3 linked regions of the Ovis aries genome follow. The protein of the gene in region 1 purifies or fractionates together with the protein of each later gene. This does not show direct contact. Links are inferred from orthologs where the notes say so. Each region holds a gene or a part of one and is shown in the gene's direction. Other genes may lie near its edges. The genes, in order: CDK16, CCNY and CCNYL1.

Region 1 (3,648 bases):
TCCTGTGTTGAGAAGAGTCAGGTAAATTGTTTGCTTTGGTTCTGGGAATATCCCTGAAGTGCTCACCAGTTTACTTGACATGGAATGAGTCTGAATTGTATAGAAATTGAGTGTACAAACTCATTTTTACATGAAGCTGCAGGTCTGTATACTGAGGGTTGGAACAAGGGCCCTTTCCAAAGCCAAAAACTGGTTGTAAAGATCTAGTGTCACGTAAGCTTAAGGCTGCGATCCCAGGTTCTGGCTCTGCATGTCTGGAACTTGGGAACACACCTTCTTCCTGATAGCAGGTGGGTTGGAGCTGGGTTGGAGTGGACTGTGAGCCACCATCCCAAACCACACAGGGAAAGGAGGAAACCCTGGGCTTGACCCTGTCTAGTCCTCCTCCTCGCCTCTGTCCTGAGTATGGGCCTTGATTCGTCCCCCGTCCCAACTCCCTGCTTCCTGCAGTGTCCCTGCTCAAGGACCTCAAACATGCCAACATCGTCACGCTACATGACATTATTCACACGGAGAAGTCCCTCACCCTTGTCTTTGAGTACCTGGTAAGGTTGGGTGGCCATGGGTCCTGGGGGAGGTGGGGAGATGGCCAGGAGCCATAGGACGTGACCCTCTTTCCTCTACCTGCTCTTCTCTCCTCAGGACAAGGACCTGAAGCAGTACCTGGATGACTGTGGGAACATCATCAACATGCACAACGTGAAAGTGGGTGTGGGGCAGGAAGCAGGGGCACAAGGGGGCCCCCACTCACCCACTCCACCCCACAAATCTCCCAGAAACAGACGTTTCCCGTTTGGCTTTTTTGCTGGGAGCCCTTGAAGGGCGTTGGGACCCTATCCTCTATTTGTGAGACAAGGCTCTGGGCTCAGTGCTTGTGTTTGGGAGGGGGAGCAGTGCCTGCTTGGGGTCAGGCTGCTGGCTACTCTTTGACCTCTGCCTGCCGTTCCTGGGTCCCCAGCTGTTCCTGTTCCAGCTGCTCCGTGGCCTGGCCTACTGCCACCGGCAGAAGGTGCTACACCGAGACCTCAAGCCACAGAACCTACTCATCAATGAGCGAGGAGAGCTCAAGCTGGCTGACTTCGGTACCCGTGGCCTCCCCCTTCATCCCAGTGATCCCCCAACCTTACTCTCCCAGCCCCTCCTTCCCCCTGACCACCTGTCTCAGTCCCTCCCCTTCAGCCTCTCTAAGCTTCACTTGGGAAACCCTCAGTCCCAACTACATTCTCCCCCAGACGGCCCATGACCTCCTCAATTCCAGCTGCTCATTATCTCCACCTATCAGGCCTGGCCCGGGCCAAGTCAATTCCAACGAAGACCTACTCCAACGAGGTGGTAACACTGTGGTACCGGCCCCCTGACATCCTGCTCGGGTCCACGGACTACTCCACTCAGATTGACATGTGGTAAGGACAGGCTGAAGTGTGGCAGGGGCCACGCAGTAAAGGGGAGTGGCTTGGTCACAACAGCCAACCAGCCAACTACCTGCCTATTCACTGTGCTCTCCCTGCCCAGGGGTGTGGGCTGCATCTTCTATGAGATGGCCACAGGCCGGCCCCTCTTCCCAGGCTCCACAGTGGAGGAGCAGCTGCACTTCATCTTCCGCATCTTGGGTAAGGAGGCATGAACCCTAGGAACTGTGGGGACATGCAGGGAGGCCCTGTGAGATGCTTAGGATAACTCCGTTTCCCCACCAGGAACCCCAAATGAAGATACATGGCCAGGCATCCTGTCCAATGAAGAGTTCAGGACATACAACTACCCCAAGTACCGAGCCGAGGCCCTTTTGAGCCATGCACCCCGGTGAGGCTGGTGGGTGGGTGGCTGTTAGGGGCCAGAGTACCCAAACTCAGTTTAAAACAGGTCCCCTTGTCCTTGAGGTAGAGTTGACAGCGACGGGGCTGACCTCCTCACCAAGCTGCTGCAGGTGAGACCACCTTCCTGGGCCACCCTAGGGGGCTAGCGGATTCCAGGTGTGGGGAAACAGAGCTACAGGGGCAGGGTCTGGGGCAGGGAAGAAGAGAAGCCTACTTGTTGAAAGTGTCAATACTCCCCCACCCCAACACACACTCAGTTTGAAGGTCGCAATCGGATCTCCGCAGAGGATGCCATGAAACATCCATTCTTCCTCAGTCTGGGGGATCGGATCCACAAACTTCCTGACAGTGAGTGGGGCTGGGGAGTGGACTAGCTGGTGGGGGGCTTTAGGGAACAGGATTTCTGCAGATAGCTGGGCAGTTGTGTTGAGTTCTAGCTGTGCCACCTCTGATGGGGTGAGGCATATGCCCTTGTTCACATATGTGATATGTTGTTTTTTACAAAAAAGTTTTTTAGCTTTCAGTTTCTTTTACATTTCATGGAAATTTTCAAACATAAAACCTGACAGAACATCCATCACTTTACCTTAAAATGCCATATATTTATATATTAAACCAAGTAATATGGTCTATTATATATTGAACCAAATAATAAGTCCCCAGTACTCTAACAAGTGATCAACTCATGGCCGCAGTGGTTTTATCTATATTCACTCTGATTATTTTAAATCAAGTCTCAGATCCATTATTCATCTATACAATTTTAGCATGTACCTCTAAAATATTTTCTTAAACACAACAATAATACAATGGTCACACTAAAAAAAACACACATCGGATTAATCTCAGTAACAACCCAGACATCATCCATCATCTAGACTTAACAGGTGGTAATTGCAATACCACTGTCACACTTGACAAAATTACTAATTTCTCAGTGTCATGTAATAGTCTACATTCCATTTTCCCTAGTAGCTGGTTTGTGTGTGGGATTATTTGGCCGATGAAAGTCAAGACTCAAAGAAAATTAGAAAATTTTCTAATTGCCCGGATGGGGTCACACGGGAGGTGGTCCTGGATTGCCTCATGGGTCATGCCCCACTTCTGTCTCTCCTCCACCCACAGCTACTTCCATATTTGCACTAAAGGAGATCCAGCTACAAAAGGAGGCCAGCATTCGATCTTCGTCAATGCCTGACTCAGGTAAGTGTAGGTGTGACCCTTGCCCTCTTCCCTGCCCCCTGGCTCCCGTCCACTTACCTGCTTGCTCACCAACAGCCATCCGCTCTGCTTTCCCCTGCAGGCAGGCCAGCTTATCGAGTGGTGGACACCGAATTCTAAGCCACAGACCGAGGCCCCAGCAGGCAGCAGCTGGAGGGATGCCACACCCCTCTCACAGGGCAGCCCCCAACTGCATCCTCCCTGCTTGCTGCCTGCCTACCTGCCTGACTCATGCTCCCATGCCCACACGTCCCCTGCTGCCTGTCTGAACATCCGACCATTGGCCTGTTGGCCCACCCATTGGCCTGTCTGCTGGGTGCTAACAAAGCTCTCATCGCTCCTTCACCTGGTCTGTCTGTCTGTCTGTCTGTGTCTCTTTCTCTCTCTGTCTTGGTAGTTGCTGGTGGACAGCGTGGCCGTGCCAGCCTCCCACACTGAAGCCAGGCCTAGACCTCTCCCCATCATACCCTCCCCCAGGACCACTACCCCATGGCCATCCAGGGGTCTGGAGCTAGCCCAGGCTGGGGATCTCGACTCAGACAAGACATGGTGATGCCTTGGGTCTGAGGCTCCCCTTCCTGCTTTCCTGCCTCATGTTGTGTGGGCCTTGTTT
Region 2 (3,648 bases), on another chromosome or scaffold:
CAAAAATGAGAATTCCTGAATAATCAGTAGCATCTCTTAACAGTACTGCCTCTGTTTCTTGAAATAACAGTTGAATCAGAATATATTTTGTTTTCATTTTGACTGGCACTCTGTTACAGAAGGGAAACTCCGTTTTCTGTTACTTTCCTCCCCAGGGACCCAGATGGAAGGATGCTCTTGGATATTTTCGATGAAAACCTTCACCCTCTTTCGGTAACCTCCCCTTGGGTCCCAGGGTGTGGTCCAGTCATGTCTCTGTGGCTCCTGTGGGCCAGCTAGTCATTGACAATGTCTCCCTCCCCAGAAATCCGAAGTGCCACCAGATTATGACAAACACAACCCAGAGCAGAAGCAGATTTACCGGTTTGTTCGGACACTGTTCAGTGCTGCTCAGCTGACTGCAGAATGTGCCATCGTCACCCTGGTGAGTGCCCGCAGGATGACCTGGCCATGGAGTGGGGTGCAGGTGGGAATGTCCACTGTAGACCTAGGAACCCCGGCCACCTCAGGGTTGTCGTTTATCCAGAATAGCAACTGGATCTCCCAAAAGAGGGCATGTGGTCTGTTCCGCAGTCCCACCTAAAGCCCCCTGTCAGATCACACTCAGAAGCAGGAAAGCTGAAACGACCCATGCAGGGTCCACAGTGCTGAGAAGGACCAGGACCACCTCATTGATGTCCAGGTTTGTGGTGTTGGTTCCCTACGTTGCAAGGACTGCTGTAATTGCTGCCTTCTCCTCTGTGATTTTTGTGTAAATACATGTCTGTAAGATGAGACATTCATCTTACATTCAGAGACAGTCACGAGACATTCAGAGACAGTGTGGACATAATCTGCACATTGACTCAAGTTAAAAACCTGTAACCTTCCTTAGATTCTTAAAACCTTAGGGACGGTTGATTTAGCTCCGATCTCATTGGGGAAGCAGCTTTAACAGCAGAGCCCGCTGTCACTGACCTTTCCCATTGTGCACCACTCAGATAAGAAATGGGCTCTGCCAGTGCGTGGGCTGCCCCGCGGGCCCATGCAGTTCCCTGAGAAGAGACCCTGTGGTAAGACGACGAGTGTAAAGACCATCCGCCTCTCCGCCACACTGAGAGCCCCATGTTCTCAGCCGTCGGCACAGGACTGGTTTGTTTGTGCATTCCTTCTCTCCTGGAACTTGCCCCCTGACAGGTGAACAGACATCCAGCAAATCCTCCTCAGGTGATGTGGCATGCTGATAGACCCTGAGGTCATGACTGAGAAGCATATTTATGGCTCAGCTTCGATCCTCCAAAGGATGTCAAGTCCTCAAAAAACCCCCTGCAGGCGGCAGGGTTGACATTTTAATGAAGGGAGATTGTGACAAAGAGGGAAGAAGGGGAAGAAAATCAGATAATGAGTACTTAAATTGACGCCCTGAAGAAAGATTTATTTTGAAGCTCTTGCTTCAAGATGCTATGTGGTAGGTTTTTTTTGCCTTCCATTCTGAAGAAAATGGTGACCTGACTTTGCCCTGTAGCACCTTCGAGTTTGGATTTATCAGTGTGAAGAAGCTTTGTGTCCTGTGAAAGACGTAGTTTCTGCAGAGACTTCTGTTGAGAACATGTAGAGTTTGTTCCCCTGTCTCTGAGCAGACGTGGGTGGTTAGTTTGTCTTGGGAGTGCTGTGGGAGTGGTGTGTGTCTGTCAGTCGTGGGAGCTGCTGAAATCCTCCCTTGTCCTGGGACATCAGCTGGTGGCTTAGCAGGAGATGGCTACAGCTGACAGGTGGGCAGCGTCGGGGGCCCTCACAACAAGCACAGCTCTGCAGACTGAGTCTCCAGGGTCTGCCTGGATGCCGCAGGCAGCCAACTCTGTGTTCCGATCGAGCCCTGCGTGTGATGGTTCCCACCTGTCTCTCCAGGTTTGCAGCAACCCTTCACAGCAGGTCTGGGCTAGGGCTGGTGGGCCGTATCCCTCTCTGCCTTTCTCCTGGGCCTTCCCTTGGTGGCCTGGCCTGTTGCCCGGAGGAGGCAGGGAAGACCACAGTTAGCTCTGCCCGGCTGCCCGCAGGGGACCAGACCACTGCCTGCCTGTGGGAGACCCTTCCAGAGCCTTCAGCCACTTGCTGCTGCGTGTGTCCGGGAGCACCAGGCATGCCAGCCCAGCCGGGTTCCCCCGGGCAGCCCTGAGGGCTGTCACTTGGCCCCAAAGTGCCTCTCAGAGGCCGGCACTCTGGTGAAGAGGCCACCTGTGGAATCTATCTATTCTGACCCCAGAGAACCCCCTTTATAGGGCACATTAGTGGTTTCTACCAAGGTCAAAAGTGTTGTTCAGATAGAGTCCAGTGAGGAATCCAGCTACCTCAAATATTAGCAAATAGGAAGCACTGGGGAGGCCCAGTCAGCTGAGTTGTGGTAAGAGTCTACAGTGAACGGACCTGGAGCTGCTCTCTGTGATGGACAGGGAAACCCAGCATCCTCGTAAGTGTGGTCCTGTGTACCCTGGAGTCCATGAGTTTGCACTTTCTTTCTCCCCTCCTCCCCCACGCCATGCCTTCGAACAGCTTTATTTTGTACAGTCACCTGAACACTCTGTAAGCACTCACTAACCTGTATTTTCTAGAGACTCTCAGGATGGTCCTTCTTAGGAAATTAAATCTGAAATTTTAATTGAGCAGCAGTGTCCTATTAGCAATGGTGTAGGGAATGGTGTTCAGAAAAAAATCAATCGTATATTATTTTACTTGGCAGAAAATTAAAATACCCAAGTGGGAGTTTACTAAAGAAATTACAGCTGACCCTTGAATATAGCTTTCTTGGCAAGTTCTGCCAAATTACATGCTATTATGTGGTGCTTATTATGAATTCCTCCTCCCCAAACATAACATCTGCTTCCCCTCGGTAATGGAGTGTGTTATCATATCTAATTCATCTAATTCTCTAGTTCATCTTAGTGGAATATCAGATGTGGTAGATGCCTGGTTTTTTCCAAACATTATCTTAAATGTTAAGATACCTGTTAACTGGAGAAGGAAATGGCAACCTGCTCCAGTGTTCTTGCCTGGAGAATCCCAGGGACGGCGGAGCCTGGTGGGCTGCTGTCCATGGGGTCACACAGAGTCGGACATGACTGAAGTGACTTAGCAGCAGCAGCAGCAGTGTACCTATTAATATCTATCTACTGTGGTTAAGTAAGAACAAAATTGAATAACCTTCTTTTTGTACTGAGTCAGTGAGAAGCTATTTCATTGGGGAGCTTGGAGAGGTTTACATAGCTCATTTATAAAAAGGAATAGCGTCTAAGGGGGAGAAGGCAATGGCACCCCACTCCAGTACTCTTGCCTGGAAAATCCCATGGACGGAGGAGCCTGCTAGGCTGCAGTCCATGGGGTTGCGAAGAGTCGGACATGACTGAGCGATTTCACTTTCACTTTTTACTTTCATGCATTGGAGAAGGAAATGGCAACCCACTCCAGTGTTCTTGCCTGGAAAATCCCAGGGATGGCAGAGCCTGGTGGGCTGCCATCTATGGGGTCGCACAGAGTCGGACATGACTGAAGCGACGCAGCAGCAGCAGCAGCAGCAGCAGCAGCATCTTAGGGATCTGGTTGAAGAGTGTCCATAATGATTGCTTCAAAAAATCTGGAGTTAGATCCAGCCTCAGTTTTCTACTCTTAGTACAG
Region 3 (3,748 bases), on another chromosome or scaffold:
TGTTTCTGGGGGGAAAAAATCAAGCTCTTTACCCCAGAACCTACTTTGGGGTTAGATAGATCTAGGTTTGAATTTCAGGTTCAAGTACTTGGCAGCAGTGTGACTGACCTCAGACAACTGGACTTTCTAAGCCTTTATTTTCTCTTGCGCCTGACTGAGCTCATCGAGGGCAGGGCTATTGCAGGAACACAGTGCCTAGAAAGTAGGAGGGACTAACCAATGTTGAAAGAAGGGAAAGTATTTTTAAAGCCACCTCAAAAAATTGTTCTCCCTTAGAGACATTCCCTTGCCACTTCCAATCAAATTTGACTTCTACTTTTATTTTCTGATAATCACAATAAGGTGCCTTTGGGGATCCACACAATCGGAGACCAAATCCTGGCCATACCCCTGAGCAATCATGTGACCTTGGGAGTATATCTTTACCATCATCTTTATTAAATAAAAACCGTGGTACTTCACTTTGTGACTCTCAGTTTCGTACGAGAAAAATCGTGCTTTGTGCTTTATGTTACACATAAAGTAGGGTGAAAGTAAGGAAACCTGGAGAGTCGTGCCGTGGAAGAGAGAAACAGCGAGAAAATCGAGTTGCTGAATCCCAGCGTTTCAGAGTTGGGAGGGAGGAGTTCGGTCCCTAATTTACCGATGAGGAAGTGGAGGGGTGACGTGTCCTCAAGTCTCATTCAAGACACGGACACAGAGGGGTTGCTATGGTTAAACTGAAGGCGGAAACTAACACTCTTTCGAAGTCAGTTCGAGAGGAGCATTTAGTTACAAAAAACTCAACGATTCGGGTGTAACTAAGTTCGTTGAGCAATGCATCAAATCAGTCAGCTGTCAGACCCGATGAAACCGAGTTGCTAACGGAACTGACTCTTTACTAACAAGCCTTCTATAGAGCCCACTGACTCAGAACAGCTTCGATTCACAAACTCCCTCACCGCTTCCCGAAGGACCGGAAAGCTCCGACTGCCGCACGATGAATGGAAACAGGAGTCCAGGGCGCGCCACTCGAGGGGCGGAGCAGCCGCAGGGTGGGGGCGGGGCATTGTGAGTCACGTGCCTGCTCTCTGAGGCGGGCGCTGGGAGGAAACTTTGTGTGTGATTGGTCCCTCGTAACCAGGTGACCGAAGGACGCGTTCCGGTTGGCAAGGGCCAGCCAGGCGAGCGCCTTTCAGTCGGGAGGCGGCGGCGGAAGGAGGAGGAGCTCCGACCGCGCTCTCTCCCGGCAGTGGCTGCGCGTCTCAGCGCTTGTCGGGTCCCCACCCCTTTTAAATAAGCCGGGCTGGTCGCCGCCTTCACAGACTAGTTGACTCCGGGGAGGCGGCGGCGGCGAGACAGCGGGGGTGCGGCCGGGGCCGGAGCCCTGCCCCGGGCCCGGCGGCGGGGCGGACAGGCGAGAGGCAGGCGAGGCCGCGTCTACATGCGCGGCGCAGCCCCGGCATAGCCCGGGGCTGCCCGTGCCCGCCGCGCCATTGTTGGGGGAGGGGGCGGCTTCTGAGCTCGGCGGAGTCGGGGGCCGAGCAGAGGCGACGGCAGCGAGGAGCGGAGGCGCCCCATGGGGAACACGCTGACCTGTTGCGTGTCCCCCAATGCCAGCCCCAAGTTGGGCCGGCGCGCGGGGCCGGCGGAGCCAGACTACGAGTCTGAGGTCTACGAGGCGGCGGCCGGAGACGCGGTGGCAGTAGCACCGGCGCCGGCTGCCGTGGAACCCACCGAGTTGGATTTCGGAGCGGGTGAAGGCCACCACCTGCAGCACATCAGCGACCGGGAGATGCCCGAAGGTAAGAAAGCGGCCGGCGCGCCTAGCCCCTCGCGGGGCCGGCGCCGTCTGCTCTCGGGCTTACCTCTGGCCTCCGCCGACCCCCGGGTCCCCCTGGAGGGAGCCGCCGCCTAGGGCTCCTTCCTGCCTGGAGTTGGCTCTCTCGGGGCTGGGCACCGGGGACGGAGGCTGGCCCTGCCTGGTGTCCCCACCCCTTATTCTTTCCCCGTCGCGTCCGGCCAGTCTCTCTCCCTCTTCTCTACCCGAACGCCCAATTCTTCCCCCATTCCCATTTCGCAGCCCAACCCGAGACCCTCAAGTCTGAGGCCCCTCCTGTTCGTGATTCTATTTAACATTTCGTGGGACTTTGTAAAGACTTTCTGATGTATTCTCTTCTTTTCTCAATGAAAACTTAAATACTTCCAACTTCGGCGATATCCATCCCATCTCCCTATCCTTACCTATCCAGATGGTACCTAAGTGAAGGAACGAGGTAAGGATCTAGATACACTTCCACTCGTTAGGATAGTTGATATTCGGGACAATTAAGACAGATTTTAGGATTTGTTATTTAAAATCAAAACAGATCGACAGTTAGTGTGGCGTTAAGTAAAATTCTGTCTAGAGTTGTCCTGATTGAAGCGACCTTATTCTAACTGTAATCTGAACACGCTAGGAAAGAAAAAGGTGAGAGTGGGGCTTAAAAAAACTGTAAACGGAGTGAAACGTTACTGCAACGGCTGCAGGGACTAGTTTTGTTGTTTGTTTTTACCGAAAGACTACCTCACGGAGCTCTGATTAACAGTCCCACTTTGACACAAAAATGTCTTCAGTTCCCCAGCTTTAACCACTTGCATGTTGCCTCTTCTAAGGGAGGGGTGGGGGTGGTTCCTGAAACTGTTGGTCAAAAGTTTCAAAGGAGAAAAAAGAAATTCAGACTTTTATTTGTAATACAAAGATTTGGCAGTTAAGATGGCAGATCCTGCAGAAAAGTTGTCTCCATGGCTACCTCTCCTTCCAACCCCCTCCTGCCAGTGGAATCCTATTCAACTTTCAGAATGTTCAGGTAAAATTCTGAAGACGAAATGACTGGGGGTGGGCGTGGGTTGTCATGGAGCAGAGGAGAGAAAATGTTTGATTTTTTTCCTCTAGAATTTTGAAACTGGACGGCTCTAGCTTTAAAAAAAAAAAGATTCTGAATAACACTGTGGTTCATTAATAAAGACTGTGTTCTTTAAGGTAGAAAACATTGTGTCGTGAAGATGTTAAAGCCCCATTGGCCCAATTGTTTCATTTAAATGCCAGAGAGTATTTCTTTAGAGAAAATGTCTTATAGCTTTTCTGTTTAAATTTTATTTGGGTTTACTTAATTTCTTTCAAAGTTAAAATAGGTAAGCCTGTGAACTCACCCATATGATGAATATGGCTTTGTAAGTGGAAAGTACTCCCTTTTCAGATACTGTCAGATACTGTGAAAGAATAAATTATATAAATTAATTGTAGCTTTAAAAACAAAACTTGTGCATACTTGTGAAAATTGCTCAGTTTGTTGCTATAAGGTAAGCCTCTAAGTGATTTTAAAAAACAGTAGTAGGCTAGTGTAGTTGGACTTTTGCATAATTCTTTTAAGATTTACAGCGTATTTTCGGGTGTATTTCACTTGACCCTTCCATCTATAAATAAGACCTGTGAATATTCTCCGTGTGTTGCCAATGAAGAAGCCAAGACTTAGAGATCTGAAATAACTGTGTAACATAGCTACTGAACAGAAGAGACCGCCTTCAGAGTGGTAGATCCAGCAAATTCAGTTGTTGGGTGCTCAAAGAGAACTGGAGCGCACTTTTTATTTTATAATTTGTCTGTAAGTTAGGCCTATCTCAACTTCAGTTTTGATTATTTCCATTTGAGTTTATTGTTCACAACTCAGAAGCAACATTTACCTCTCCATTCTATATACATTTACTACAATGGATAGGAATAAAAGAA

What was found.
Region 2: the proteins of CDK16 (region 1) and CCNY purify together in Homo sapiens (affinity purification with mass spectrometry; 3 studies listed by BioGRID and IntAct, counting the BioPlex papers as one, with this or other methods). This does not show direct contact. The link is inferred for Ovis aries from reciprocal best matches to the Homo sapiens genes CDK16 and CCNY.
Region 3: the proteins of CDK16 (region 1) and CCNYL1 purify together in Homo sapiens (affinity purification with mass spectrometry; 4 studies listed by BioGRID and IntAct, counting the BioPlex papers as one, with this or other methods). This does not show direct contact. The link is inferred for Ovis aries from reciprocal best matches to the Homo sapiens genes CDK16 and CCNYL1.

Annotation. Positions count from the first base shown.
Region 1 is NC_056080.1:57,590,412-57,594,059, reverse strand, and holds part of CDK16 (cyclin-dependent kinase 16), read left to right. Parts: intron 1-450; coding exon 451-545; intron 546-642; coding exon 643-705; intron 706-958; coding exon 959-1,082; intron 1,083-1,282; coding exon 1,283-1,403; intron 1,404-1,512; coding exon 1,513-1,610; intron 1,611-1,694; coding exon 1,695-1,800; intron 1,801-1,881; coding exon 1,882-1,924; intron 1,925-2,071; coding exon 2,072-2,162; intron 2,163-2,939; coding exon 2,940-3,017; intron 3,018-3,117; coding exon of another isoform or gene 3,118-3,155; exon of another isoform or gene 3,156-3,432; coding exon 3,433-3,473; 3' UTR 3,474-3,648. UniProt on the Homo sapiens protein: Protein kinase that plays a role in vesicle-mediated transport processes and exocytosis. Regulates GH1 release by brain neurons. Phosphorylates NSF, and thereby regulates NSF oligomerization. Required for normal spermatogenesis.
Region 2 is NC_056066.1:17,432,749-17,436,396, reverse strand, and holds part of CCNY (cyclin-Y), read left to right. Parts: intron 1-155; coding exon 156-213; intron 214-304; coding exon 305-424; intron 425-3,648. UniProt on the Homo sapiens protein: Positive regulatory subunit of the cyclin-dependent kinases CDK14/PFTK1 and CDK16.
Region 3 is NC_056055.1:209,790,502-209,794,249, forward strand, and holds the start of CCNYL1 (cyclin-Y-like protein 1), read left to right. Parts: upstream 1-1,176; 5' UTR 1,177-1,558; coding exon 1,559-1,784; intron 1,785-3,748. UniProt on the Homo sapiens protein: Key regulator of Wnt signaling implicated in various biological processes including male fertility, embryonic neurogenesis and cortex development. Activates the cyclin-dependent kinase CDK16, and promotes sperm maturation.